4 linked regions of the Arabidopsis thaliana genome follow. The protein of the gene in region 1 interacts with the protein of each later gene in a pairwise test. Each region holds a gene or a part of one and is shown in the gene's direction. Other genes may lie near its edges.

Region 1 (5,904 bases):
GAATATGATAATAGAGGATAAATTTGAAAGGACAAAGAACTTTAATTAGAGGTACTGTCCATATCTACCTTGCAAACCTACAACAATTAAATGTGTTGGACGAACCGATAGTCGATACTCGATAGTCGATAATGGATATATATGCTCGAGGTACGTAAAATTTAGATGTTAATCCGCAAGAATATATAGAGTTGTGCTAGATGTATTAATTAAGATATCGATCTCCAAAAAGTCTATACACTCACGAGAATATGTTTCATATAGTTTTTGGGATCAATTATGGTGATTCTTCTAATGTGAACATGATTCATTCATTTAATGGGTATATCCGATCGAATATATATGTTTTAGATTTTAAGAACAAAATAAAAATGATAGATGGCCCTTTTCGATGGTTCTAAACTTTATTTTGATATCGTGAGAGCACTTAATGCTACTTTGTTCTTCACGCAATCAGCATGCATATTTACTCACAAGTTGCAACCACACGAATATAAACAAATTCGGTTACGGACTTAGGGCTACATATTCAGTTACGTCTTGATGTCATATGCATAGTTTATTGAAGCTCCTTGTCTAAAAATGCATTAATATGCAAACTTTATGCATATATCATATGTATGGCCTTAAATCTCTCAACTCAAACTAATATACAGAGAAAAAAAAATTCTGATAATCGTATTTTGAAAAACATTAAAATCTGTGTTTATAAGATCTAGAAAAACATATATGTCTACATGAATGCAATAATTTAATTAATGTATTTGTATTTTTTTTTTTCAATGCATGTGTAAGTAGATATATTTGATGTATGTATATCTCTCTAGTCTCTACGTAGGTGTCATGGGACGTTCCTAGCTACTTGCAACTTGGCAATGGAGTTATGAACTTTCTTATTTCCTAATTTTAATTATGTTGGAACAACGTGGGAAGATTCTCTCACGACCATCATCTTTCATGTGTGTTTTTTTAATGACGCCATTCGAAACAAAACATTCTCCCGACTAATGAAGACATGCGGAAACTCAACCTAGCTCGACCGCCAAGGATGATATAACTAACCTTATAACCAATAAAAACTTTGCGTTCTTTAGTTACTCATATTTAAGTGAAGTTAAATCATTTGTAAAAAAACATTGTTTGTGTCAAATCATTGGTGAGGTAGAACTAAAATGGTAGTTTTCTTAAAAGACTTTGATCTTGCCTAATTAGCCATCATCTTTGAATAGAAAATAGTTATATTGGACAGTAAGTGAGACACATTCTCTGCCCATGTTTCACTGTCCCACAAATCTCTAATGAGGACAAAGCTTTACAAGTCACTCAGTGTTTTATGATTTAGCTAGCTGTTCAGAAACCCACGATTTCTTCATATTATATATCCCATTATCATTATTTTAATCTTCTTTCTCACCGCTTAGTTGTTTGATATTGCACAGATCAGCAAGATAATCCTTCAGGATATGGTTATGGAATTAGTGCTCCTCAAAATTTTCGGTTCGACTTTATTCACAATTTAGCATTTGGGTATGCATATGAAACAAACTTATAATCTAATTTCGTTTTCTCAAACACAATTCACAATTTAACACACGAAGATAGATGAAAACATCAAGGAAATTGTATCACTTTTTCTACTATGTAATGTCACAGATGCAGAAACAAAGCGAACTACTTGCTATCATACAAATTGTTATGACGCCAATGGAACTCGCATATTATTCCACCGAACGAAAAAGAAACACAATCATGATAAAATAATTGAGAGAGATTAAATAAAATTAGATTCTGACTAATCATTGTTTTTCAGCTTTTGGTTTCCACTCTCTTATTATCAACTTCGCTTGGGGACCTTCAATCTCAGTTGCACAAAAATGCCATAAAACTAGCCAAAAAGTGAAGAAATAGAGGAGAAAAATGGCGATCCCTCGACTTTTCTTCCTCTTCTATTACATTGGTTTCGCTCTTTTCCCTTTTGTTTCTTCTGAAACATTTCAAAACTCCGAACAAGAGATCTTGTTGGCCTTCAAGTCAGACCTTTTTGATCCTTCAAATAATCTCCAAGATTGGAAGAGACCTGAGAATGCCACAACATTTTCTGAGTTGGTTCATTGTCATTGGACAGGAGTTCACTGTGATGCAAATGGCTATGTGGCTAAGCTTCTTCTCTCCAACATGAATCTCAGCGGAAACGTGTCAGATCAGATTCAGAGCTTCCCTTCTCTGCAAGCCCTTGATCTCAGCAATAACGCATTTGAGTCTTCTCTTCCTAAATCTCTTTCTAATCTCACGTCTTTGAAGGTCATTGATGTGAGTGTGAACAGCTTCTTTGGAACCTTCCCTTATGGTCTAGGAATGGCAACTGGTCTTACACACGTCAATGCCTCAAGCAACAATTTTTCGGGGTTTCTACCTGAAGATCTTGGCAACGCAACTACACTTGAGGTTTTGGACTTTCGAGGAGGTTACTTCGAGGGCTCAGTGCCTTCTTCTTTCAAGAATCTCAAGAATCTGAAGTTTCTCGGTCTTTCGGGTAACAACTTTGGTGGAAAGGTACCGAAGGTGATTGGTGAGCTCTCTTCCTTGGAGACCATTATTCTTGGTTACAATGGCTTCATGGGTGAGATTCCAGAAGAGTTTGGGAAATTGACGCGCCTTCAGTACCTTGATTTGGCTGTTGGAAACCTTACAGGCCAGATTCCATCTTCTTTGGGGCAGCTGAAACAACTTACAACAGTTTATCTCTACCAGAACCGTCTCACAGGGAAACTTCCTCGAGAACTTGGTGGTATGACTTCTCTTGTGTTTCTTGATCTGTCTGATAACCAGATCACAGGAGAAATACCTATGGAAGTAGGTGAGTTGAAGAATCTGCAGCTTCTAAATTTGATGAGGAATCAACTCACGGGAATCATTCCGTCAAAAATTGCTGAATTACCAAACCTTGAGGTTCTTGAGCTGTGGCAGAACTCTCTCATGGGTTCATTACCGGTGCATCTCGGCAAAAATTCCCCATTGAAGTGGTTAGACGTCTCATCAAACAAGCTTTCAGGAGATATACCATCAGGATTGTGCTATTCCAGAAACCTCACAAAGCTCATTCTCTTCAACAACTCATTCTCAGGTCAGATTCCGGAGGAAATCTTCTCATGTCCGACTTTAGTTCGTGTTCGAATCCAGAAAAATCACATTTCCGGATCTATACCAGCTGGTTCAGGTGACTTACCAATGCTTCAGCATCTAGAGCTCGCAAAAAACAACCTCACCGGTAAAATTCCAGATGATATAGCCTTATCCACATCACTCTCATTTATAGACATATCATTTAATCATCTCTCATCCCTATCTTCCTCCATTTTCTCAAGTCCTAATCTTCAAACCTTCATTGCCTCACATAACAACTTTGCCGGAAAAATTCCTAACCAGATTCAAGATCGTCCATCTTTGTCTGTCCTCGATCTTTCCTTCAACCATTTCTCAGGTGGAATCCCAGAAAGGATCGCTTCTTTTGAAAAACTTGTGAGTCTAAATCTCAAGAGCAACCAATTGGTTGGAGAAATCCCTAAGGCATTAGCCGGGATGCACATGTTAGCTGTTCTTGATCTCTCAAACAACTCTTTGACGGGGAATATACCAGCGGACTTGGGAGCTTCTCCAACACTGGAGATGTTAAACGTGTCATTCAACAAACTCGACGGACCCATTCCTTCAAACATGCTGTTTGCAGCCATAGACCCAAAAGACCTCGTGGGAAACAATGGCTTATGCGGTGGAGTTCTACCACCTTGCTCTAAGAGCCTAGCTTTGTCAGCAAAAGGCCGAAATCCAGGGAGAATTCACGTGAATCACGCAGTCTTCGGGTTCATTGTTGGAACTTCAGTCATCGTGGCTATGGGGATGATGTTCTTGGCAGGGAGATGGATATACACAAGATGGGATCTTTACAGCAACTTTGCTAGAGAGTATATATTCTGCAAGAAACCTCGGGAGGAATGGCCATGGAGACTCGTGGCTTTCCAGAGACTGTGCTTCACTGCAGGAGACATCTTATCACATATCAAAGAATCAAACATCATTGGAATGGGAGCCATAGGGATTGTTTACAAAGCAGAAGTCATGAGACGGCCATTACTCACTGTAGCTGTGAAAAAACTGTGGAGATCACCATCACCACAAAATGATATCGAAGATCATCATCAAGAAGAAGATGAAGAGGACGACATACTCAGAGAAGTGAACCTACTTGGTGGTCTACGACATAGAAACATTGTGAAGATTCTAGGTTACGTTCACAACGAGAGAGAAGTGATGATGGTATACGAGTACATGCCCAATGGAAACCTAGGAACTGCTTTGCATTCCAAAGATGAGAAATTCTTACTAAGAGATTGGCTCTCACGATACAATGTCGCCGTCGGAGTCGTTCAAGGTCTCAATTACTTGCACAACGATTGCTATCCTCCGATCATTCACAGAGACATCAAGTCTAATAACATCCTCCTCGATTCAAACCTTGAAGCGAGGATAGCAGATTTCGGATTGGCGAAGATGATGCTTCATAAGAACGAGACCGTTTCTATGGTGGCTGGATCTTACGGGTATATAGCGCCGGAGTACGGATACACACTGAAGATTGACGAAAAGAGTGATATATACAGTCTAGGCGTTGTGCTTCTGGAATTGGTGACTGGGAAAATGCCGATAGATCCTTCGTTTGAGGATTCGATTGACGTGGTTGAGTGGATTCGGAGGAAGGTGAAGAAGAACGAGAGCTTGGAAGAAGTGATCGACGCGAGCATCGCCGGAGATTGTAAACACGTGATCGAAGAGATGCTCCTGGCACTGCGAATCGCTCTTCTCTGCACCGCGAAGCTACCGAAGGATAGACCATCGATTAGAGACGTCATCACAATGCTCGCGGAGGCGAAGCCACGCCGGAAAAGTGTTTGCCAAGTCGCCGGGGATTTGCCGATTTTCAGAAACTCGCCAGTGGTAGGGCTGATTTAGATGACGGAGGCGATAAGGGTAGTTTTGTCATTTCATCAGCTGGGGCTAATTTTAACATTGGGCTAACAAGTTAACTTTGGGCTGAATCAAAAACCCATGTTTTCAAATCTGATGGGTGCACTAAAGCCCATTGAACCAAATGACATGATTCAAAATTGTAATAGGCCCCTTGTTGATGGCTGATCCAGCAAATTGTAGTTACCAGAGGCTAAAAAAATAATAAATAAAGATTTTAATTAGTTTTGTTTTAATGGAATATTAATCTTTCAATTCACAGAGAAATATTATCTTTTATGATACAATAATTATAAATAAAAAAATTTGATTTTTTTCTATAAATGAATTTTTATGAACGAAATATAAGTTAAATATATTGTATATGTTCTTGATTAATTTCTTCTATTCTGAATTTGTTTCCATTTCCGGTTAAAATTTTTGATTCGCAATTGCTTACATCAACTATAGTCTATATATGACAAAGTCAAATATCCAAAAACGAGATTTTGTAATTATGAGAATCAGTCTTTGGCAATAATCTCTGATATACTCAAAATAGAGTGAATACAATTATTGGTTTTTCATGCTAAATATGAGTTTGCTATATATACCAAATGGTTATATAAATTTTTTTGGGGACAAAAGATAATTAAATATACAGCAAATGGTCAAGTTACCTTCTTCTTCTTTTTTTTTTCTTTTTGTTATCATAAAATTTTATAAAAAATGGTAAAACTACATATGCCAACAGAGAAAAAATAACCCTAGGCTGGTTAAACATATTAAAATTTTCAGTGACAACAATCCTAAAAAAAATATAACTTTAGAAAATAACTAATAAAATACAAATCAAAATTGCAAAATTAAACATAAATTTTAATTATATTCTAATTCTTTTTC
Region 2 (3,293 bases), about 27 Mb from region 1:
AGAGAAAGACAAACTTTCAAAAAGTTCTTCGAGGAGAGAGAGACGACAAAGTTTCGCGTATATAGAGAGAGAGAAGAAGACAACAAGATATAATCCATTGAGAAGAAGGCAACAGTATAATTAAGTCGTTAATCATTATTAATTAGCATTGTTTTTGGCTAATTAATTAGCGTTATTAGTCGTTGTTAAATGACCTTACTTACTTACTGGAGTAGTCTAATTTTTTCTGGGTCCCACTTTACTTCCAAGAGTGTGAAATCACCTGCGGCTGGTCCTACTATACCATAAAGTCAAAACCGGACCGGTTCAGTTCTGTAAATGTTGAATTCTAAGCAATGGATTTAAGTATTTAACCGAACCGACTCTTTAAAAAATTGCTGTTCGACAAGTTTATACAATTATTACTGTTCAATTCTTCATTTGGCATTATATGATATATCGATTTAGTTGTGACTTTTGAGCATGTGTTTTTTTTTCTGATTCTAAAGTTGTTTTGGAAAAGATTGTTTGTTTTCATTTGACATTATATAGTTAAGCATGTTCTGTTATCTGTATACAAATCATCGTGCTTGTGGTTTTGGGATTATGTGAAGTAATACAGCAAAGATGCGTAATTTATTTTAAGTATCAAAATTATTCTCTTATCCACATTGTATATAGTCAAAATATATATTACAGACTGAATTAAACAGACTTAATAATAGGCAAAATGTACATATATTTGCATTAGAAGATTTCAATATATGTGTTTTTTTTCTTTCAGAAAGGTCATTTGACTCATAAGTTATAACAGCTAGCTTATATAGTCCTTAGTCCTTACTCATGAAAAAAGAATAATTTGTTTTGTTATTTGGGGTCTACTACTAACATTAGAAGCAGACGTGGGATTTAATTTGATTTATTAAAATTGTGGTGGGTAATATTTAGACTGAATCTATGAAATCGATAGCTTGTAACCTTACTCACTCTCAATTTAATTATATTAGTTTTGTTTCTCATCACGACTGAGACGTGTAACGAATATATCGACTGATCAACCACTAGTTATTAATTTAAACGACTTTAATTTGTATTAATATCATATCTTAATGACTTGAGTAGAAGAATAATAGAATAAGCATAGAAAACATTGACCAAATCCTTGTGTACGATACAATCATGTATTATATACAGATTTATTTGTTACTAGTAAATATGATTAGAACTTGCATTAGACAATGGTCAAGTTTGTTGATGTTTCCAGTTATGGAGAAGCCATAATTTGAGTAGCATTAGACATTGATTAATCAAGAAAAGAAAAATAATATCATCTACTAGTGTCAACACTACAGACGCAGCGAGCGAGCAATTATAGACGCAGTATCTAAACGCTGATCGGTGTACGAATTTGCGGTTCATTTCAACGCTTGGCAAAATTCACAACGTGGAAGACATTGCGAGTTTACGACAAACTAGTGGGGTTGTTTTAAGTAAACTAAAACTTGTAGGGGTTTTCTCAAAAATAAAATAAAATAACTTGTAGGGGTCACAAATGAAAAATAAAAAGTATTGAATATCCTACGTGGCATTTGTTTTTTTCATCTCCTACGTGGCATTACGAAATGAAGAAAAAACTGATCTGACGGATCTGCTTAACCAGTTGAAGATAACGTTAGTAAGGAAGATATCCAGACCAAAGCCACACAACATTAGCCACGTGTCATAACCACAATCACTTACCGGATCTTCTCTCCCTCGTATTTGAAGCCACACAACATGAACATTAGGGTGAGAAGAGATCGAGAGAAGAATAGTTTGATCATCTTGTGAGAAAAATAATGGCTGCTTCAGTGATGCTATCTTCGGTGACATTGAAACCAGCTGGTTTCACGGTGGAGAAGACGGCGGCTAGAGGATTACCGTCGCTCACAAGAGCTCGTCCCTCCTTCAAAATTGTCGCCAGTGGCGTCAAGAAGATCAAGACCGACAAGCCCTTCGGTTCGTTTATATTATTATTACACAGACTTTTACAACATATACACGTTACCGTTCATGTATAGCTTATTTCCGTTAATCGATGTGTGTGTAGGAATTAACGGCAGCATGGACTTGAGGGACGGCGTCGACGCCTCCGGCAGAAAGGGCAAGGTTTGTAGTAACTGAAAACGGTGTTGTTTAATATCCTTTTTAATAATAATTTGGTGGGTTCTCTAAACAATGACGTATAATCGCAGGGATACGGTGTTTACAAGTACGTCGACAAGTATGGAGCTAACGTCGATGGATACAGGTGAATTAGAATTATCATCCTCCATAACATTTTTTGTAGATAAGAAAGAACCATGGATTACGTAGTAGATGATTGATTTTTAATGTTTGGGTTGCAGTCCTATTTACAACGAGAACGAGTGGTCAGCGAGTGGTGACGTGTACAAGGGAGGAGTCACCGGATTGGCAATTTGGGCGGTAACTCTCGCCGGAATTCTTGCCGGAGGTGCTCTTCTTGTGTACAACACAAGTGCTTTGGCTCAGTAAATCTTAAAGTTGTTAGCGCATGTGTAATCATGTTTCTATAAATGTTTCTGTGTTGTTCTCTTTCTCTCTAATGTTGTAAAACTCAGACATACTTTGAATTTATAAGACTTCTAGTGTTTGTATATATATTCATCTTCCTATCCTTTATGATTTCCATGCACAAGAATGGTTTCGGATTTAAGACTGAACCATATGAGTGTTTTTTTTTAATTGATGAAACTTGAAACAAGAGGTGAACATGATGAGAGAAAATCAAGTGTTGTACATCCATAGATCCGAAAGTCTCAAGCTTAAGTGTTATGTCATTGGAAATCGTCAAGCGAGTCTTCTTCTTCTTCTTCGCGATGTGAAGCCGAGGAAGAGCTGCTGCTCATCAAAGGAGTTGATCGATGAACTTCTCCATCTAACATCAACAATCTCACTTTCTGCAACACCATTGCCAACGTAAGGAGGACGAATTGATGCAAAAAAAATTACGTTCTTGTTAAAAGGATGGATTTTTGCAATCTTCAGAGATGGGTTAAGATTAAGAATAGAGGAAGCAAACCTTCTCAATTTCGTCTTGAAGAGCAGGGTTTTCCCTTAAGTGCTGCAGTGCTTTCTCTCTTCCTTGCCCGAGCCTGAAAACAGAGACCCAAAACACAACCATATCTCATACTCTGTACCCACTTCTATAACATAATCAAAAGTCTTCAGGAATTATGAGTTTTCAATGTAGAATCCAAACCTTTGGTCTTCGTAGCTGTACCAGGAACCTTTCTTGACCACAACTTCCATAA
Region 3 (4,032 bases), on another chromosome or scaffold:
TTAACTCGTTTTAGGAGCCATGAATCAGCTGGCTAGAAACTTAGCTTGCGAATGGGCGAGCGACAACATAAGGACGAACTCTGTTTGTCCTTGGTATATCACAACTCCTTTAAGTAACGATGTAAGGCCAAAGTTTATATTTCTCCTTCGTACTATGAAAAACAAAAAAAATACGTAAATATGACTTCGGGCTTTAATTTATGTGTGAAAATCTCTTAGTTTTTCGATGAAGAGTTTAAGAAAGAAGCGGTGCGTACGACACCAATGGGGCGTGTTGGAGAAGCAAATGAAGTCTCACCGCTTGTGGCATTTCTTTGTCTTCCTTCAGCTTCTTATATTACTGGTCAGACCATTTGCGTTGACGGCGGTGCCACTGTTAACGGTTTTTCCTTCAAGACTATGCCATAAAACACATATGCATGTGTTTGGATCATATTTTCAATAATTTAAACTTACGGGTTATATACATCGTCAATATGTAATAAATGTAATTTAGATGTGTCCACATGTTCTGTTTCTAAGAGATTCTTAGATATTTATGCTTGCGTGGTGAACAAGAGTTCACTCTCCGGATGGACCGCATCCATAATCTATGAATTTGGGAATTATATTACCAATTTGACGGCAGACTAGTTGGCCAAACTTAACTCTTGGTTCTTTCCGGTTATATATGTTTGCAGTGTCTAATATTTCTCAATAAAACTTTCAAAGATGACGACAAAAAGTGTCTTTCTATGATTCTCTCCACATGCGTATAATACTATTCGTCACACATCGTGACTTAAAAACTTGTCGACTAGTATATAAGTGTATGGAAATTCTCCACTTTTGAACTAACTTTTCGTGTGAGTTAGGCCCACACTTAGTTAATTCAAGACTTACCTCTTCCTTCCATGCCTTTGGTTAGCACCGGTGGGTTGTGTTATTGGCATGCTTGGTTGGGACACATAATGGATATTTTCAGTTTTCTAAACTAACATCAAGCGCAAACTGGTATAATTCTAGGGCTTCAGTCAAGAGTAATCCTTCCATTTCTTATGAGATAGTTGTAAAGGTTTCATCAAACGAAACTTGTTTCACACCCAAGAAATGAAACCAAAATTAATTACATGAGACGAAACAAAAATAAATCCAGAATAAACTACTATTATGAATAACTTTTTTGATTATTTAAACAGATCTGTTTGATTGAATCCAAACCTGTTATGTTATTTATTTTTGTTTTTATGAATACCAAAAAGTTTTGGCTCAGAGCCCGAATATCCTCGGCCCGAAACCATTATGTAATATTACTTACTAGATTTTCATTAACTTTAAAAAGATTCATCATAATATATAGCTAAACCCCTTTTGTTTTAAATTGGAAGACGCATCATAAGTTACGTCATTAACTCATCATGATCACTTTCCCAATTAAATATGTTAACCTAAACTAATTCAGTCTTATCATTACTTTGAGATCTCTAATTTGTCTCAGCCACAAAGTCATTAATTACGATATATATCATTCCACAACTTCTTTGAAGATTCTCTTAACCTCGTATCATTTATTCTAACCCATTTTCCCATTATCATTTGTCATCAAACTAGAAGTCAAGAACAGAAACATCCAGAACAATGGCTAAAGTAGAACAGAGCAGATGGATTCTTCAAGGCATGACCGCTCTTGTCACCGGCGGAACGAAAGACATTGGGTTTGTCTTCCATCATCACTTTCCAAGTCATCTTTCTTGCGTTCCAAGCAACCAAAGAAAATAAACCCAACTTTGCTTACACATTTATATTCTTGATGAATCTCTCACCTATGCAACTAAAATTCAGGAAACCTACATTGCTCTCAAACAATGAACATGTCTCGATCTCATGTAGTTGGGCCTAACCCTTAATCGAGGCCCATTTGTTTGATTAACCTAACAAATACATGAAAAGGCCTTTCTTACACTGTCATTATCATTCATTCATTATGGATTTTTCTCTACCAGACATTCAGATCTCCAAGAAAAGATCTTTGGGTTCTGTGGTTCATAATCAGAAATGGCTAAGACAGGGGAAAGCTTGAGAGACAAACCTAGATGGAGTCTTGTAGGCATGACCGCTCTTGTCACCGGTGGCTCAAAAGGCATCGGGTCAGTTCCAGTTCTCCTACATTACCTACTTTCTTACTAGTTCAATATTGAATCTGAGCTCTTATTTCAATTATAGATTTAAATGGATCTTTTTTTTTTAACAACAAAGATTTATATGGATCTTATGATTGTACTTCGATGTTTAACCGACCTATCCTGGAAAATAGATAAGCTTGGTAATGTAAGTGTGTTCAATTAATAGAGAAGCTGTGGTTGAGGAACTAGCTACGTTAGGGGCAAGAATCCACACATGTGCCAGAGACGAAACTCAGCTTCAAGAAAGCTTACGTAAGTGGCAAGCAAAAGGGTTTCAGGTTACCACTTCTGTCTGCGACGTTTCTTCTCGTGATAAACGAGAGAAGCTCATGGAAACCGTTTCCACTATCTTCGAAGGAAAACTCAACATACTTGTAAGTACATATCTAAGCTTTGATCCATATAGGAAACGATTATGTTGTGTTTTCTTAAGTTTTCGGTTTGGATCTATATTTAAGGTCAACAATGTGGGAACGTGTATAGTCAAACCGACCTTACAACATACAGCCGAAGATTTCTCATTTACAATGGCAACGAATCTCGAGTCAGCTTTTCATCTCTCGCAGCTCGCGCATCCTTTGTTGAAAGCTTCTGGTTCAGGGAGCATCGTGCTCATCTCCTCCGTATCTGGAGTTGTACATGTCAATGGTGCATCCATATATGGAGTATCTAAAGGTAAATCTATACGTATGTATATTCAAACGATTAATGATGCATCACGTTCTGATTTTTACGAAATGTAAGTGTATTTTAGGAGCTATGAATCAGCTAGGAAGAAACTTAGCGTGCGAGTGGGCAAGTGACAACATAAGGACTAACTCTGTGTGTCCATGGTTCATAGAAACTCCTTTAGTTACCGAAGTAAGTAAGGCAACAAATATGAAAGTTCTAAGCTATATACATTGTTACTTCTCAATTTTAATTTTAATTAAGTAAAATTGAAAATCTCTCAGAGTCTTAGTAATGAGGAGTTTAGAAAAGAAGTGGAGAGTAGACCACCAATGGGACGTGTTGGAGAAGTAAATGAAGTATCATCGCTTGTGGCATTTCTTTGTCTTCCTGCAGCTTCTTATATTACAGGTCAAACCATTTGTGTTGATGGAGGTTTCACTGTTAATGGTTTCTCTTTCAAGCCTCTGCCTTAAGACGTCGATTGTTTTCATTTTACGTTATTTTTTTAACATTTACAATTTGTTTAGATATGTAAACATAAACACAATTACACAAACAAACAAAAAAAATTGGCGTTTGGAATGTAATCCAACTCTCCACAATATATGCATGCTTTGTGTTTTAACCGATCAAGTATACTAATTTTTTTTTAATTATAGTATAATTTGTTACTACGAAGCCACCAACGTTCTTACATTCTCAAGACATTGATAAGTTATAACCTGCGGTCCTAAATCACCCACCAAAGGGGAGAGATGAATTGATAAATTAAGACGAGATGTGTTGAATGTTGATAGAGCTAGCTGCCTATCTCTCCATACATGCCTTCTAAGGCTTCCTCACAAACCATAAGTAATTTGGTCGTTTTGACGCTAGATGTTTGTTTGTTGTCCCATATATCAAAGTCAGGTGCTCACATTTTTATTTGTTGTATCTCAATATGAAAATGATTGTATAGAAAATGAAGAAACGAAGGCTAAGTGTGCCTTTTTTATTATTTAAATAGTTTGTATATGACTTCAAAATATATCCAAACACAGATACTTTGGAATTTATAATGACAGTTGACATCTAAAAAAACCTGTAAATTGGAAGGTTTAAGCATATGTCTAATTATTATTTATCCTTTTCGTTTTTTATATTGTACATTCATTTTTTACCACTCTCAAATATGAACTTTGTATTTAGTTCTAATAAA
Region 4 (3,617 bases), on another chromosome or scaffold:
ATATCTAAACAATATTTATGAGTTATCTAAATATTAGTTCTATTAGGATTAGGATTAGGATTGTTTAAGAGATCTCTATATAAGGAGATACCAACATGTGGTATAACTTATGAGTTGAGAGTTTAAGTTTTGAGTAAATTTCTTAAACTAATAAAGAGAGTTATTCTTAAATCTTTGTGTTCTTGATCATCTCAAACTATATTCGAAGATGGCTTTTTTGGATTTTTGTCCTTTTTATCTAGGTGTTTTTTTTGGGTCTTTTAGCTCAATATACTGAGTGTTAGTGTTAACATTACGAGTTTGTTTTAGATTGTGCTGATTTTCATCCCTTATATAGTTCCTTTTTGTTTGAACGGATGATATTTGTTTTTGGCAAGTTTTCTTTCCCACTTGTAAGATCGGAACAAACCAGTCAATGACATAACGAAAGTCATATAAACTCGTAAGATCGGAAGTCGGAACACACCAATTATATATATAACGAAAGAATGTAGTAAACAGACAGTGACATGAATATATCTCACATAATCAATTCAGAAATAATATATAACTTTGACCCAATTGGTCCTCTAGGTAGACTGCAGTGACGTACCTATGAGCCACGATAAGAAGCCAAGCCATGTTCCTCTGCTGAGCTCTCTGAAGAATACTCAACTAGCTTTTTCCGTAGCTCAATATGTTCATGGCGAAGTTGTGCAAGAGGCAAATAGGAGGAGGCTCACTGGTCTCCGTCACAGAGCTGGACATCCATCTCCGGTTGTAACTAGAGATTCCAACCAAAACAGTTGTGCTATGTGACTAATCTCTGTTTATTGTAGACTCTTGCTCTATTGTCGTGGCATGCAAGTTTTTCATACTAAATAATCCTAGCGTAAAACATAGAAACTAGTTTGAGTGTTGGTTTCCCCGGACATAACTCCATCAAGACATGGTCTGCCGTATGATAGTGCATTCCTAACATGGATGGTAATTGGAGAAGAAATTCACACAATCCAGTCCAGGAATCACCTCACCAAAAAAGTTAGCAGACTCTTCTCTAGAAACTTTCCGCATCAAACAAAACAATTGTTTGGGAGTACTTTATGCTTCATGCCAAATATCCACTTTAAGAAAAAATGAATCAGATAACACAAACAACGAAGAAAGTAGACCAAAGGAAAAAATAATTGTTACCTTGTCAAAGAAAAGAACATACCCTTGTACCACATAATGTGCAAGATCAGATGCATTCAAGGAGCTAGAGGGATTTCCGCATATTCATGATATGCAACCTAACGAGCCTCCCCTGAGTTAACCATTGACTCACTCGGCCCCTTAGACATTGTTTGAAGCTCTTCTTCAACATAAGGTGGCCAAACTAAAGATGAAGACTTAGTCACAAGAGGCAAATACTGAAAAGGTGACATAAGATCTTGCCCTCTTCTTCTCCATTGCTTATTATTGCCTTCCCTATTTTCTTGAAAAATATTTAAAACGCAGGATAAAAAAAAGTCTGCAAACAAATCGACATTAGCTTGAAGAGAAAGAAACTCATTTTATTTGTTTCCCAAAGTCAAACAAGAGAACACGTTCATTTACTCTGCCAGGTAGTGGAAAACAACGTGTAGTCGGTATGCTCTGGTTAGAAAACGGCACGTAGTTTCTTCGAACTTGAACCGAATAAATATACCGGCTTATGCCGGATTGAAATGTGGTTTTAGTATATCTTTCTGGTTTAATAATGGCTTCCTTGTGATTTTGATTGACAAGGGAAACTCTGTAGAGAAAAGAAAAAATCTCGACTTCGCAAATTGCGAGAGACATTGAGTCCAAGACCGAGTTAACTCGCCAGATTCAATGTAAAGTTTTACTTTTGTCGCCTAATTTGTGTTATTTAGGTTATTCTGTTGAAAACCCTATATATAGATTCGTGTATTCTGTTTTCCACATCTTGCATCTTCGTTGATTCGTGGTTTAACAATTTGGATGCAGAACCATGGCTGGGGTTATGCAGAAGTTCCTTATTGCATCAATGTTTATGTGGATTCTTCCTATTGCAATATTATATGGATTCAACAATGATTTGCTTCCTGGTAAGGCTAAAATTTCCAGGTTTGACTTATGTATGAGGACATCTGTGTCATTGCTCTAATTGTATTGATGGTTCTAACTTTGAGTTTTGCTTAATCGTGTAAACTCTGTAGTTGAAGTTTTAGTGGAACTTGGTTTAGTAGAATAGCTGGTTGTTGGGATCTGATGGCAGATTAGAGAAATTCTGATTGTAACTTTTTAGAAACTGCAAACTTCTTTGATTAGAACTTAGTTTGTAGGTATCATAGAAACTAGTTGGAGCTGGAATGCTACAAGAGGTTATTCTATGGTTGTAACCTTACTTCTTGTAACAAAGGCAGTTTAGTCTTTGACGCGTAGTTCATGTAATGAAGTTTGATCATCTACACATGTGATAGCCTGTTAGTCGGTTACTGTACTTTTGGCATAATGTCTCTCTTTCTCTCTCAGGCTCACGTAGCTTGTCTGTTGTAGTTTCCCAGCTTTAGTTTCTAACAGTAAATGCTGTAGAAATTGACCGTGTTGCTCTGTTAAATCTCGACAGGGTCAACAACGTTGTCTCCACATTCTCTGACACTACTGAGTGGATTTCTTGCCGTGGTATCAGTCAATGTAGTTATTGTGTTTTACATCTGTCTGGCCCTGAAAGAACCTGCGGATAAACACAAGCCAGACGCTTCGTTTGTTGCAGAGGCTAAAGACAGTGTTAAGAAATTGACATCAGGAGTCACAAATACTGACCCTGCGCTGAAGAAACAAGAGTGAGAGCTTGCCACATCCCATTTTTGTTAAACAAGGAACAGTGTCGAGATTGCATCAGAAGGAGCAGAGCTCAGGTTCTTGCAATGTATTGTTTGGTTGCTAGATCATTCTGTGTTGTGAGTTTTGGGTTAGTTGAGCAGAAAAACTTTGACATGTTCATGTTGGACAGAGAAGATAGCTAATGTTGTAGGACAAAATTTCACAAAAACCATAAACAGCTGTGTCCATAATTGTTTAATTTTAAGCAATTTGATCTGTTTTTCTCACACTTCTCTTCCGCATTCTCTTGACATTTGTTCGTTTCTTAGAGTGTTTAAGTTAGATAAAGAAAACGAATATTGAATTATACAATCAGTGGCAAAAATGACACTTCTTTGGCTTGTGCTCTTCATCAGTTTTGGTTAGCAGCTTGATCATTACGATCAAAGCACTTATCTGCCTCTCATACTCTTAGGAGTTGATAGCTTTCAACAACAAAGCTGATTTACAGTCTAGAACGTACGCCACAAAGAAGTACAAATATGTTTAAGATAGGCCTGGGCATAATACCCGGAACCGAATACCCGAACTGAAAAACCCGAAAAATAACCAAACCGAACCCGAACCCGACTTTTAGAATTATCCGAATGGGTTCTCCACTTCACTACCCGAAAAAACCCGAACCGAACCCGAACCGAATCTAATATCCGTGGGTACCCGAATACAAATGTAAAGTTAAAAATATTAGTTATATATATATATATATTTGTAATACCTCAAACACCCAAAATTAAAATTATAAATCCGAATATACTAGATTTTTTAGT

What was found.
Region 2: the proteins of AT1G08590 (region 1) and PSBR interact in a two-hybrid assay, tested with the Arabidopsis thaliana proteins (one study listed by BioGRID).
Region 3: the proteins of AT1G08590 (region 1) and AT2G29360 interact in a two-hybrid assay, tested with the Arabidopsis thaliana proteins (one study listed by BioGRID).
Region 4: the proteins of AT1G08590 (region 1) and AT2G31710 interact in a two-hybrid assay, tested with the Arabidopsis thaliana proteins (one study listed by BioGRID).

Annotation. Positions count from the first base shown.
Region 1 is NC_003070.9:2,716,942-2,722,845, forward strand, and holds AT1G08590 (Leucine-rich receptor-like protein kinase family protein), read left to right. Parts: upstream 1-1,596; 5' UTR 1,597-1,917; coding exon 1,918-5,007; 3' UTR 5,008-5,339; downstream 5,340-5,904.
Region 2 is NC_003070.9:29,734,268-29,737,560, forward strand, and holds PSBR (photosystem II subunit R), read left to right. Parts: upstream 1-1,684; 5' UTR 1,685-1,817; coding exon 1,818-1,977; intron 1,978-2,068; coding exon 2,069-2,127; intron 2,128-2,213; coding exon 2,214-2,269; intron 2,270-2,366; coding exon 2,367-2,514; 3' UTR 2,515-2,742; downstream 2,743-3,293. Other genes in the region: RECA1 (recA DNA recombination family protein), read right to left, coding at 2,817-2,939, 3,062-3,134, 3,242-3,293.
Region 3 is NC_003071.7:12,601,815-12,605,846, forward strand, and holds AT2G29360 (NAD(P)-binding Rossmann-fold superfamily protein), read left to right. Parts: upstream 1-1,952; 5' UTR 1,953-2,034; coding exon 2,035-2,126; intron 2,127-2,328; coding exon 2,329-2,536; intron 2,537-2,620; coding exon 2,621-2,837; intron 2,838-2,916; coding exon 2,917-3,023; intron 3,024-3,115; coding exon 3,116-3,307; 3' UTR 3,308-3,485; downstream 3,486-4,032. Other genes in the region: SAG13 (senescence-associated gene 13), read left to right, coding at 15-121, 220-408. UniProt on the Arabidopsis thaliana protein: Oxidoreductase active on cyclic ketones, but not on tropinone or nortropinone.
Region 4 is NC_003071.7:13,481,254-13,484,870, reverse strand, and holds AT2G31710 (Vacuolar ATPase assembly integral membrane protein VMA21-like domain-containing protein), read left to right. Parts: upstream 1-1,677; 5' UTR 1,678-1,838; intron 1,839-1,971; 5' UTR 1,972-1,975; coding exon 1,976-2,072; intron 2,073-2,593; coding exon 2,594-2,814; 3' UTR 2,815-3,113; downstream 3,114-3,617. Other genes in the region: AT2G31700 (uncharacterized protein), read right to left, coding at 3,303-3,490.